Arabidopsis thaliana: one gene and its partner. The protein of the gene in region 1 interacts with the protein of each later gene in a pairwise test. Each region holds a gene or a part of one and is shown in the gene's direction. Other genes may lie near its edges.

The links. The genes of interacting proteins can lie anywhere in the genome.
Region 2: the proteins of MBD1 (region 1) and SPL7 interact in a two-hybrid assay, tested with the Arabidopsis thaliana proteins (one large-scale study listed by BioGRID).

What each region holds. Positions count from the first base shown.
Region 1 is NC_003075.7:11,946,678-11,950,621, reverse strand, and holds MBD1 (methyl-CPG-binding domain 1), read left to right. Parts: upstream 1-1,817; 5' UTR 1,818-1,980; intron 1,981-2,102; 5' UTR 2,103-2,107; coding exon 2,108-2,227; intron 2,228-2,706; coding exon 2,707-3,201; 3' UTR 3,202-3,412; downstream 3,413-3,944. Other genes in the region: AT4G22750 (DHHC-type zinc finger protein), read left to right, coding at 10-223, 311-402, 508-637, 735-820, 925-987, 1,122-1,256. UniProt on the Arabidopsis thaliana protein: Probable transcriptional regulator.
Region 2 is NC_003076.8:6,274,427-6,281,111, forward strand, and holds SPL7 (squamosa promoter binding protein-like 7), read left to right. Parts: upstream 1-1,563; 5' UTR 1,564-1,689; coding exon 1,690-2,240; intron 2,241-2,636; coding exon 2,637-2,809; intron 2,810-2,960; coding exon 2,961-3,187; intron 3,188-3,260; coding exon 3,261-3,335; intron 3,336-3,437; coding exon 3,438-3,545; intron 3,546-3,861; coding exon 3,862-3,979; intron 3,980-4,095; coding exon 4,096-4,231; intron 4,232-4,456; coding exon 4,457-4,610; intron 4,611-4,684; coding exon 4,685-5,245; intron 5,246-5,498; coding exon 5,499-5,786; coding exon of another isoform or gene 5,787-5,801; exon of another isoform or gene 5,802-5,870; coding exon 5,871-5,936; 3' UTR 5,937-6,141; downstream 6,142-6,685. UniProt on the Arabidopsis thaliana protein: Transcription factor that participates in reprogramming global gene expression during copper deficiency in order to improve the metal uptake and prioritize its distribution to copper proteins of major importance.

The sequences.
Region 1 (3,944 bases):
TGTTTGCAGCTTATAATGCTACTGTGGAGTTATTTCTCTGTTGTTGTGACGGACCCTGGTGGTGTTCCAACGGGTTGGAGGCCAGAATTAGACATAGAGAAAAGCGAGGGAAACCAAGCTTTGATTGGAGAAGCTTCGGTTGGAGATTCCTCGTCTCATGGTGTAAGATATTGTAGAAAGTGCAATCAATATAAACCGCCTCGTTCTCACCATTGTTCAGTCTGTAAGTCTCTTCAATGAGTGATTCTTTTCTTTGAATCCGGTATATGTGTTTTTTAGTAGTGAAAAAGTTGTCATATTGGGTTTTCAGGTGGAAGATGCATACTAAAGATGGACCATCACTGTGTTTGGGTGGTGAATTGTGTTGGTGCAAATAACTACAAATCATTTCTCCTATTCTTGGTATGTCAACTTATCATAGCATCGCTGAACGAAGTTGTTTTTGATATGTTCTGTTCATTAATGTTGCCATGATCATAATCCATTCCCAATATCTCAAAAATGCAGTTTTACACATTTCTTGAGACAACGGTGGTTGCAGTATCACTATTGCCAATTTTCCTCGTATTCTTCAGCGATGGAGATGGTGATATAACCGTATCACCAGGAAGCCTAGCAGCCAGCTTTGTTGCATTTGGTGAGTTCAAAGATATAGAAATCTCAGTTTCCGTTTTTGTTTCAGAACACCTTAACGTTACCATCTGATTCAAAAACTTCACTCTCTTGCTTTCCAGTATTGAACATAGCATTTGCCCTAAGTGTCCTAGGCTTCCTAATAATGCACATAATGTTGGTCGCTCGTAACACCACAACTATTGAGGTAAAGCAACAACTCTCACTTGGTTTTGCTCTTAACTTGGGTTCTCTCAGGAATCTCCATGTCAATAAACTCACTGACCAAACTAATGGTTTCTTTAATCTCAGGCGTATGAGAAGCATACAGTGAACTGGCCATACAACGTTGGTCGTAAGACAAACTTTGAACAGGTTCGCTCTCCATCTTCTTTGTTTCACTCGTTCTTCAGTGACTGATTCGTTTCCCCGCTACTTAGATAATATCTTTGACATCGAACACAATGAAAGCTTTAAAAAGTTTGGTCTCTATTCCTTTGTTGAATCAGGTTTTTGGAAGTGATAAAATGTATTGGTTCGTGCCATTGTACACGGAAGACGATAAGAAGAAGTTGCCAGCACTTGGAGGGTTAGACTTTACGAGCAGGTCGGAGTCCGAGACAGAGCCGCTTCAGTCTCTATGACCTTACAAACTTGAAATTTTTGGAAGTGTGTCTTCTGCTTTGTGTATGTATCAATCAAATATTATATCAAACATTGTCTTGTGTATTATAAAGATTAGTGCCTATTGTGGAATTTGTATCTTTTTATTTCGTGAAAAGAAATTTCTCAAACTTCTTAAATATACCATTTTCACATTTGCTTAAATATACCATTTTCATTTTTTCACTATTGATAATAATAACATGTTATTTATCATAAAAAATAAAAAAATCACGACACGTGAATGATGTACTGTAACTATCAAAGATTTGACGTACCACATACTTTCTGTATGTTTTTGATCGAATCAAAAATAATTATTTTTGTCCTTTTTTGTTTTATTGTTATTTTATAATGTAATACTTTTACTAAAATAATTTTTTTTAAAAACTAAATTTCTGGTCTATATAATTTTGGCCAAATATGTACATATTTAAAATCCAGAGTCAACCATTTAACAAACACTTGGAAATTTAATTAATTATTATGCCCTGTTTAGTAGAAAATCCATTAAAAATTACAGAAATGGTCTGCGTGTCGCATTGAACCAATCATATCTCGACATCTGTAAATACAGTTGGAGAAGATTTTTTCTTCTTCTGCTGGCCAAAAAAAAACATTGCATTAAAAAGGGTTCAAAGAAAAATTCTCAAATTCTCTAACAAAGAGCTCTGAGATTTTTGGAAATCTGAATCGTTGTTCGAGGTATGAACTTTTGGATCACTCTCCTTGAATCTGCTCTTTGATTCGATTTCGTACTTGAATTTCGCAATTTTGGAGTTTTCTCTCGCTTCGTTATACTGATCGTTTAGGGCTTGAAATTGAAGGTTTAATGTTACCATTTCCGGCAATGAACTTGAAGAAGTCTCGATCGGAAAACTCATCAGTTGCTTCATCTGGAAGTAAGATTGAGGAGCAGACTGAGAAATCAGCTGAACCAACAACCATTAAGGTAAACCTCACTAAACCTAAACCCGGTTTCAATTTTGCTTTGTGGTCTCTCTTTACCACACAGATCTTATCATTGAATTCTATCTCTTAATTAGGGTTTTAGTTGAGAATCTTAAGGTTTTTTTTCAACCAGTTTCGAAGACTTAGTTACTAGTGTTATTTGACGAACTGATGCAGACATAAAGGTTATAACTTTATTTCTCGTTGTGTCTTTGGCTGATCAGTTATGTATAAAATTTAATCAATATTTATGCTATTTAAGGTTTCGCAGTGACCCTTTTCTTCAAATTTGGTTTTTGATTCTGCATGTTCTCAGTATCACTCTTTTGGTGGTGTCCCTGTTTTGACTTTTGTGTTTCTCTACGCATGTTTTCTCATCTTGCTATATATTAAACGATTTGTAGTATGATTCTGTTGATCCAAGTAGCTTGTGAGTGACTGTTCTTCTTTTCACCGAGATTCCATATTTGTATTGTGCAGGTGCAGAAAAAAGCCGGTACTCCAGGGAGGTCGATAGATGTCTTTGCTGTGCAGTGTGAGAAGTGCATGAAGTGGAGGAAGATTGATACTCAAGATGAGTATGAAGATATCAGAAGTAGAGTACAAGAGGACCCGTTTTTTTGCAAGACGAAAGAAGGTGTGTCCTGTGAAGATGTTGGAGATCTAAACTATGATTCCTCCAGAACATGGGTCATCGACAAGCCTGGCTTGCCGAGGACACCAAGAGGGTTCAAAAGGAGCTTAATTCTGAGAAAGGATTACTCGAAAATGGATGCGTACTACATAACTCCTACTGGGAAGAAGCTCAAGTCTCGTAATGAAATCGCAGCCTTCATCGATGCCAATCAGGATTACAAGTATGCACTGCTTGGAGATTTCAATTTCACAGTCCCAAAGGTGATGGAAGAGACGGTTCCTAGTGGGATATTATCTGACAGGACCCCCAAGCCATCAAGGAAAGTTACAATTGATTGAGCTACATAGCGCTTCCCAGCTTCTTATGGTGTTGAAGTTGTTATTGGAGTCAGTTTTAGGTTTCTATCTGGTTTAGTCTTTTAAGGGTGTCGGACTTCTTACTGTAGAATGTTTCTTAAACTCATCTCTTTGACTCTGATTGGATCTTTATTTTCTAATGAAGGATTATCTTTTCTTCTCTTTTTGTTATGTCACAAGTCACAACTACATGAATCGCTCTGGTTTTCACTCAGTGTGTACAAACAAACACGACAAAGTATATTCAAGCAGCATGTGTACAACTTCTTCTACTCCAAGCGCACCCTCTGCTATAGCGTGCGGTGTGCAAGTCCTCGCTTATGGGCTATTTATCCCATTCAACATTGAGTATTGGTCATAACCTCTTGGGACTGAGAGCTTTATGAAAAGAAGCCTTAAACAATGATTGCATATTTGGGATTTTCAAAAAGAAGACTCACAACATAACTTTATGTATGTTTCCGCTCTTGGGTTTTCTGACCAGCCCTTGAAGCTAGTCCTTTCTCAAGGTTTTGTGTATGTTTCATTAGTTTTTGTTTGTATCTGGAGTCTACCGTTTATTAGAAGTTTAGGTTGCTCCTTCCACCGTCCTTACTCCTTGGTTTAGTTGAATAAGCAGTTTTCTCATGTGGTCTTACTTGGTATGTAAAGGCTAACCTTTTGTGGGCATGCAAAGTTCTAAATTTAGACTCTTTAGGATGAAGATTACATGGCTACAATTTTTG
Region 2 (6,685 bases), on another chromosome or scaffold:
GCCCTAGTTGAATGTGTATACGGACATCTTTTATATTATTTTCTTTTGTCAGTTTTGTGCTTAGAAAGCGTCATCAAGTCTCAATTATTATGCAATTTCATCTTATTAAACTTTTGTAGCCTATGTGGTTATGTCGAGACGTATTTGGAGTAATTCAATACATTAAGAATAAGCTCTCAATCGACAATCAGTAGTTTTTATCTCCAATTGAATTACAGAGATCGAACTCGGGTTCTTAATCTTACCAGACCCTTGTGTTTTTCCTCGGTTTCATATGTGGGTTAATGTTTAAATTGTTCATGGTGTCATCATTTATTTTTGGGCCCGGACTGGCCCATCCGAAAAGTGGGCTAATCTCCAATTTTCATAGCACATATTCTTAATACCAATCATTAACCATGTCATATTTCTGTCTGCGAAAACAAAACAAAATAAAGCACAAAAGGGTATATAGTAACTTAGTAAGCACATGGTGGATGAGACACGTGTCTATTTTCTGGTGGTGAATGGCTTGGAATGAGAAGACCAAAATTCCACCACCGTTATTATTGGAGAAAAAAAAAAAGCGAGAGAGAGAGAGCACTTGGGGTCGCTCACGTCCCAAGTAACACTGAACCGACGTCGTATTCGATAATGATTGATGAACCGTTGATTTCCTCAAACTCACGTAGCTTACACGCGAACCTCCCTTCAACCAATCATGTGCTGCCATCATTTAGCGCGTGTCTCTCACGTCCCGACACTTCCTCCTACATAGCTCAACACCTCCTCCTTGGCCACTTTTTGTTTCTTTTTTCTTTTGCTAATTATAAAGTAGGGACTCCCAAATATAAACCTATAGGCTAATTATATAACCAAGTGTCCCAAATATTGTCTCCCAAAATTTTTTTCTGTAGTTAGGGTTTTTAATTCTAAGAATTTTCTTTTGAATTCTGTTTATTATGCAACAAAAGAACGTTTCTATATTACAATTTTTTCAAGCAATCTACTTCTGGTTAATGTAAAACATAAATACACCTTTTTGGATATTATATAACAAGATGTAATAAGTTGAACCATATGCAATAACCATTCCAAAACGAGTCGATTGTGCTATCAATTATCAAACTACTTTTAGTTGTGTTAAGTTGTCATCTGTCAGAATATTTCACATCGTAAATCAAAAAATGATTTTAACATTTTCATTATGCAAAGATAATGGATCTTTCAGGATTTTTATCAATTAATTTTGAATTAAAACATTCTTTTAAAAAAAAAAAATAGTATTAGTGCTATTTGTGAAATGATGAATTTTCGGATTTTTGTCTTTTGCCGCAAAGAATTTTTGAATTATATAAGTTAGGCAAGAAAAAAAAAGAATATGTGAATAAACTATTAAAGCACGATTAACTAATCATGATTGTGTTTATTAGTTCAACGAGTTCTCTGTTGATTGAGTCATTCCACAGATAAAAAAAAAATGTAGACTATTTTAGATAATTTATTTTATTTAGTTCCATAAAATAACTCAAGAAATAAAAAGTTTTGAGATGTCAAAAAAAAAAAGTAATGTAAAAATGCATTATTCGGAGATGTTGATGACTTTGTGCAAAATTACCTAAAACCTTCAACCAAAATCACCAACTTCCTCAACAACCGATGGACCTTTCAATATTTCTCTGAATTTTATCAGAAATTGAAGACTCTCAGATGTCTTCTCTGTCGCAATCGCCACCACCGCCGGAGATGGATATCCAACCCCCGGCATTGGTTAACGATGATCCTTCCACTTATTCCTCCGCTTTATGGGATTGGGGAGATCTCCTTGACTTCGCCGCAGACGAACGCCTTCTCGTCGATCAAATTCATTTCCCTCCCGTTCTCTCTCCTCCTCTACCGCCTCTGATTCCGACGCAAACTCCGGCGGAATCTGAATTAGATCCTTCTCCGGAAGAATCGGGTTCTGGTTCGGATCGGGTTAGGAAGCGAGACCCGAGGTTGATTTGTTCCAATTTCATTGAAGGTATGCTTCCTTGTTCGTGTCCTGAGCTTGATCAGAAATTGGAAGACGCCGAGCTTCCGAAGAAGAAACGGGTTCGCGGCGGGTCGGGCGTGGCTCGATGTCAGGTTCCGGATTGTGAAGCGGATATTAGCGAGCTCAAAGGGTACCATAAGAGGCATAGGGTTTGTCTCCGTTGCGCTACCGCCAGCTTTGTTGTGCTTGATGGAGAGAATAAGAGATACTGTCAACAGTGTGGAAAGTATGTTACTTTTCTTGGCTTTGAGAATAAGAATTGGATTTGATAGGTGAATCCAGCGGGAACTGTCTTAGTTAACCTCCTATGCATCCTCCTGGGATTTTTGTGTGTGTTTGACTTAGGTGTTGTTCAGATTTGATTTGCAGCACAAAATGATCGAAGATCGGGATGGGTTTCTGTTGTCTGTTTGATTGGGATAGAGACTTTGAATCTATTGTTAAGAAATTGGATAACTTTGGGAGAGACTGTTGATCAGTTTGAATGATCCCACGGAATTTACTTAGTCTCTTTGTTGAGCATAAGCTGAGCTTAACTTCTGTTTAGCAGTATTATTGTTTGTATTAATTCTTTCAATCTATGCTGTTATCCATCATTATAGTGAGTAGTACTATCTGGCAGGTTTCATTTGCTCCCGGACTTTGATGAAGGAAAACGCAGCTGTCGGAGAAAGCTAGAGCGTCACAACAACAGACGGAAAAGGAAACCTGTAGATAAAGGAGGTGTTGCTGCAGAACAACAGCAAGTGCTTTCACAGAATGATAACAGCGTCATTGATGTTGAGGATGGAAAAGGTATAAGTGAACTGCGCAAATCTCAAATCATATCACCATGTGGTTTCTTTGTTTTAGTTGTTTGCTTTGCATATTTTGCTAGTTACCAACGTTTAGAGTTCTCTTGGAAATTCAAGCTGATTCGATTGTCAATGCTATCATTTTGAAGCAGATATCACATGCTCTAGTGACCAGAGAGCTGAAGAAGAGCCTTCATTGATTTTTGAAGATCGGCATATTACCACTCAGGGTTCTGTACCTTTTACCCGAAGCATCAACGCAGACAACTTTGTCTCTGTTACAGGTTCGGGTGAAGCTCAACCAGATGAAGGAATGAATGACACAAAATTTGAACGTTCACCTTCTAATGGCGACAACAAAAGTGCTTACTCAACTGTGGTGAGTTTCTCTTCAGCCTCTAACATCAAAAACATCGGTGCACTTAATGAACTAATTTCCCATTTCATTGCAGTGTCCAACTGGTCGGATCTCTTTTAAGCTCTACGATTGGAATCCAGCGGAGTTCCCACGGAGACTACGTCATCAAGTATTCTCAAGAATTATATATTACAGTTTAGTGTTCAAAGACTATGTTTACCTTCTCAGAATCTCAAAGAACTAATATCTTGCGATTAATTTGAATTTGCAGATATTTCAATGGTTGGCCAACATGCCTGTTGAGCTGGAGGGCTATATCCGCCCAGGATGTACAATTTTGACTGTCTTTATAGCAATGCCAGAGATTATGTGGGCGAAGGTACATCCTGTTATCTTTTACTCATCATTTTCATGTTCATGATGCCGCGACACAACATAAGAAATTGTTTATTTTCAGTAGGTTGTAGTCTCGAGATATGCTCTATTTCTCTATGCACCTTACCCTCTTAAGTACCATATACACATTAAAGCTCTTACGTTTTTGTGTGACCTGAAGTTCTTTTGTTACTAAAAATTGTCCATTATTTGGAAGCTTTTGCCCTGGAGGGAGAAAATGCAAACTTAGTATCTCTTCCCGTGAACTCTCTTTTGACTTTGCACTGTAATAAACTTTTCCAATTTGTTCCTGTAAACAGTTATCTAAAGATCCTGTGGCATATCTGGATGAATTTATTCTTAAACCTGGAAAGATGCTGTTTGGAAGAGGCTCGATGACTGTCTATTTGAACAACATGATTTTCCGTCTTATTAAAGGCAAGTTGGTGTGCTTTACTTGTTTTCTCTGGATTTTTTCACTCTATCATATTGGATAACCATAATGTCGTGAGCTATTAATGTGAACTAATACTTATTTGTCTTGGTTTTGACAGGTGGAACAACTTTAAAGAGAGTCGATGTAAAATTAGAGTCGCCGAAACTTCAGTTTGTGTATCCTACATGTTTTGAAGCTGGAAAACCAATTGAACTCGTTGTATGTGGACAAAACCTTCTGCAACCTAAATGCCGGTATTAATGTCAACCCTTTTTTTGAGCTATGCTTCAGACATCTCTCGCATTTCTAGTTCTGTCTTATTTCTCATATGAGGAAGCTGATATTGCAAGAACTTTCAAAATGTTGCATTTCGATTACTACCCATCATTTGTTGGTTTGATTTTTATCACTTGTGATTACTAAACTGTTCCATATACGAAAGAAAAACATGCTGCTTACAGATAATGGTTTCATTGTAGGTTTCTCGTGTCTTTTTCTGGGAAGTACTTGCCACATAACTATTCTGTTGTACCTGCACCGGACCAGGATGGGAAGCGTTCTTGTAATAACAAGTTCTACAAGATCAATATTGTGAATTCTGACCCTAGTCTCTTTGGCCCTGCCTTTGTCGAGGTACCCATTTGTTTGATGATATACAGTTTAGAAGTAGCTCATTTCAATACGATCCTCATCTAATCCTTTTGTAGGTTGAAAATGAATCTGGCCTATCAAATTTCATACCTCTAATTATTGGAGATGCAGCTGTTTGTTCCGAAATGAAACTAATAGAGCAGAAGTTCAATGCTACACTCTTTCCAGAGGGACAAGAAGTTACTGCTTGCTCTTCTTTGACTTGCTGTTGCAGGGATTTTGGGGAGAGACAGAGCACCTTTAGTGGCCTCTTGTTAGATATTGCATGGTCGGTGAAGGTACCCTCTGCAGAACGCACTGAGCAACCTGTGAACCGATGTCAGATAAAAAGATACAACAGAGTGTTGAATTATCTGATACAGAATAACTCAGCGTCGATCTTAGGAAACGTACTGCACAATTTGGAAACTTTGGTGAAGAAAATGGAGCCAGACAGTCTTGTTCACTGTACCTGTGACTGCGACGTGAGGCTTCTACATGAAAATATGGATTTGGCGAGTGATATTCACAGAAAGCATCAAAGCCCTATAGAGTCAAAGGTGAATCCTCCTTCGTCAGGTTGCTGTTGTGTGAGTAGTCAGAAGGACATACCATCAAGAATATTAAACTTCAATAAGGTTTTTCACTATTATCTGACTTCCCCTATTTTCCTGTTTGATCTATACTGGACTCTGCCCACAATCTATACTTGTCTTGCACATTTGGTTTCTTGCTCCACTCCTGAGTGCTGAACACTAACTTTTGTGTGTTTATGGTATATTTGGCACATTGTGACAATATTACAGGAGTCTGCGCACAATATTGTGTCTGTTTCTTGGTTTATTTGCATAGTTTCTGTTATTTAATGTTTGCCATTTATTATGTTTACAGGATCCTGAAGCAGGATTAGATTGTAAAGAGAGAATACAGGCAGACTGTTCACCAGATAGCGGCGGAAAAGAGACTGATCCTCTGTTAAACAAAGAGGTTGTCATGAACGTAAATGACATAGGAGACTGGCCAAGGAAGTCGTGTATAAAAACGCACTCAGCTTTAGCATTCAGGTCCCGTCAAACTATGTTCTTAATCGCTACGTTCGCTGTCTGTTTTGCTGTCTGTGCGGTTCTCTACCATCCAAACAAGGTCACACAGCTTGCAGTGGCAATCCGAATGAGATTGGTACACAAAATTTGAATATAAGTTCAACGGCAGAGACTCTCATTAACGTGTGTGCATCAAAAAGCTCGAAGAGAGCTGTAAGAGTGTTCAACAGAGCTCAGCCACAACAGCTTCTCAGAGAGTTTCCCTTCAGAAAGAGACAGGATATGATCAGATGAGGTCTTGCTCTTTCTGTGTGTTCTTCTTCCCAATTTCTATAAGACCGGTGATGCTGCAACTGTAATAACAAGAAATGCTCAGATCAGTGATTAATTATCTCTAGTCGAATAGTGTTTTATGTATATTAGGGTTTACTTTTGCTCACTGTAACCTGTTTTTTCTTTGTTTCTTGGTCTAAGAAATGATTCTTGAACAAATCCTAATCGTAACTTTATGCAATTTTCTACTTCAAGCAATGTCTTGGCTCTTGAGATCTCTCTAAACTCTGTTTGGTCACCTCTATTATCAAATGTTATCTTTGACTTTTCTTATTATTATTGTCAGTCCAATAGATTAACTAGTACTCAAGTAGCATAATAATTTGAGATGGTTTTATTCTTTTCTTCTCTTTTTGAAGTACAACTGTATTAAGATGCATGTTGGATTGAGAAATCGGCACTGAGATTGATTGCAACATAGAAGGCAAATGGGTAGAAAAAGACAAAGAAGATGAGATTTGAAAACAACGAAGAGACACACATATAAGGAAATGCGTCAGTTCTGAGTCATATATTTTGGTAAACGACAACATTCTAACATTTTATTTATTTGCTTTAGATGTATTCACCTTTCTTTAAACGTATCAAACGCTAGCTTTAACGTGCTAATTTAAACATAGACTAATCTATTTTGCCTTTAAAAGTTTGCTCAAACTTAGAAGCATTTCTCTTTAACAAAAGAAAACTATTAGAGATTACTTG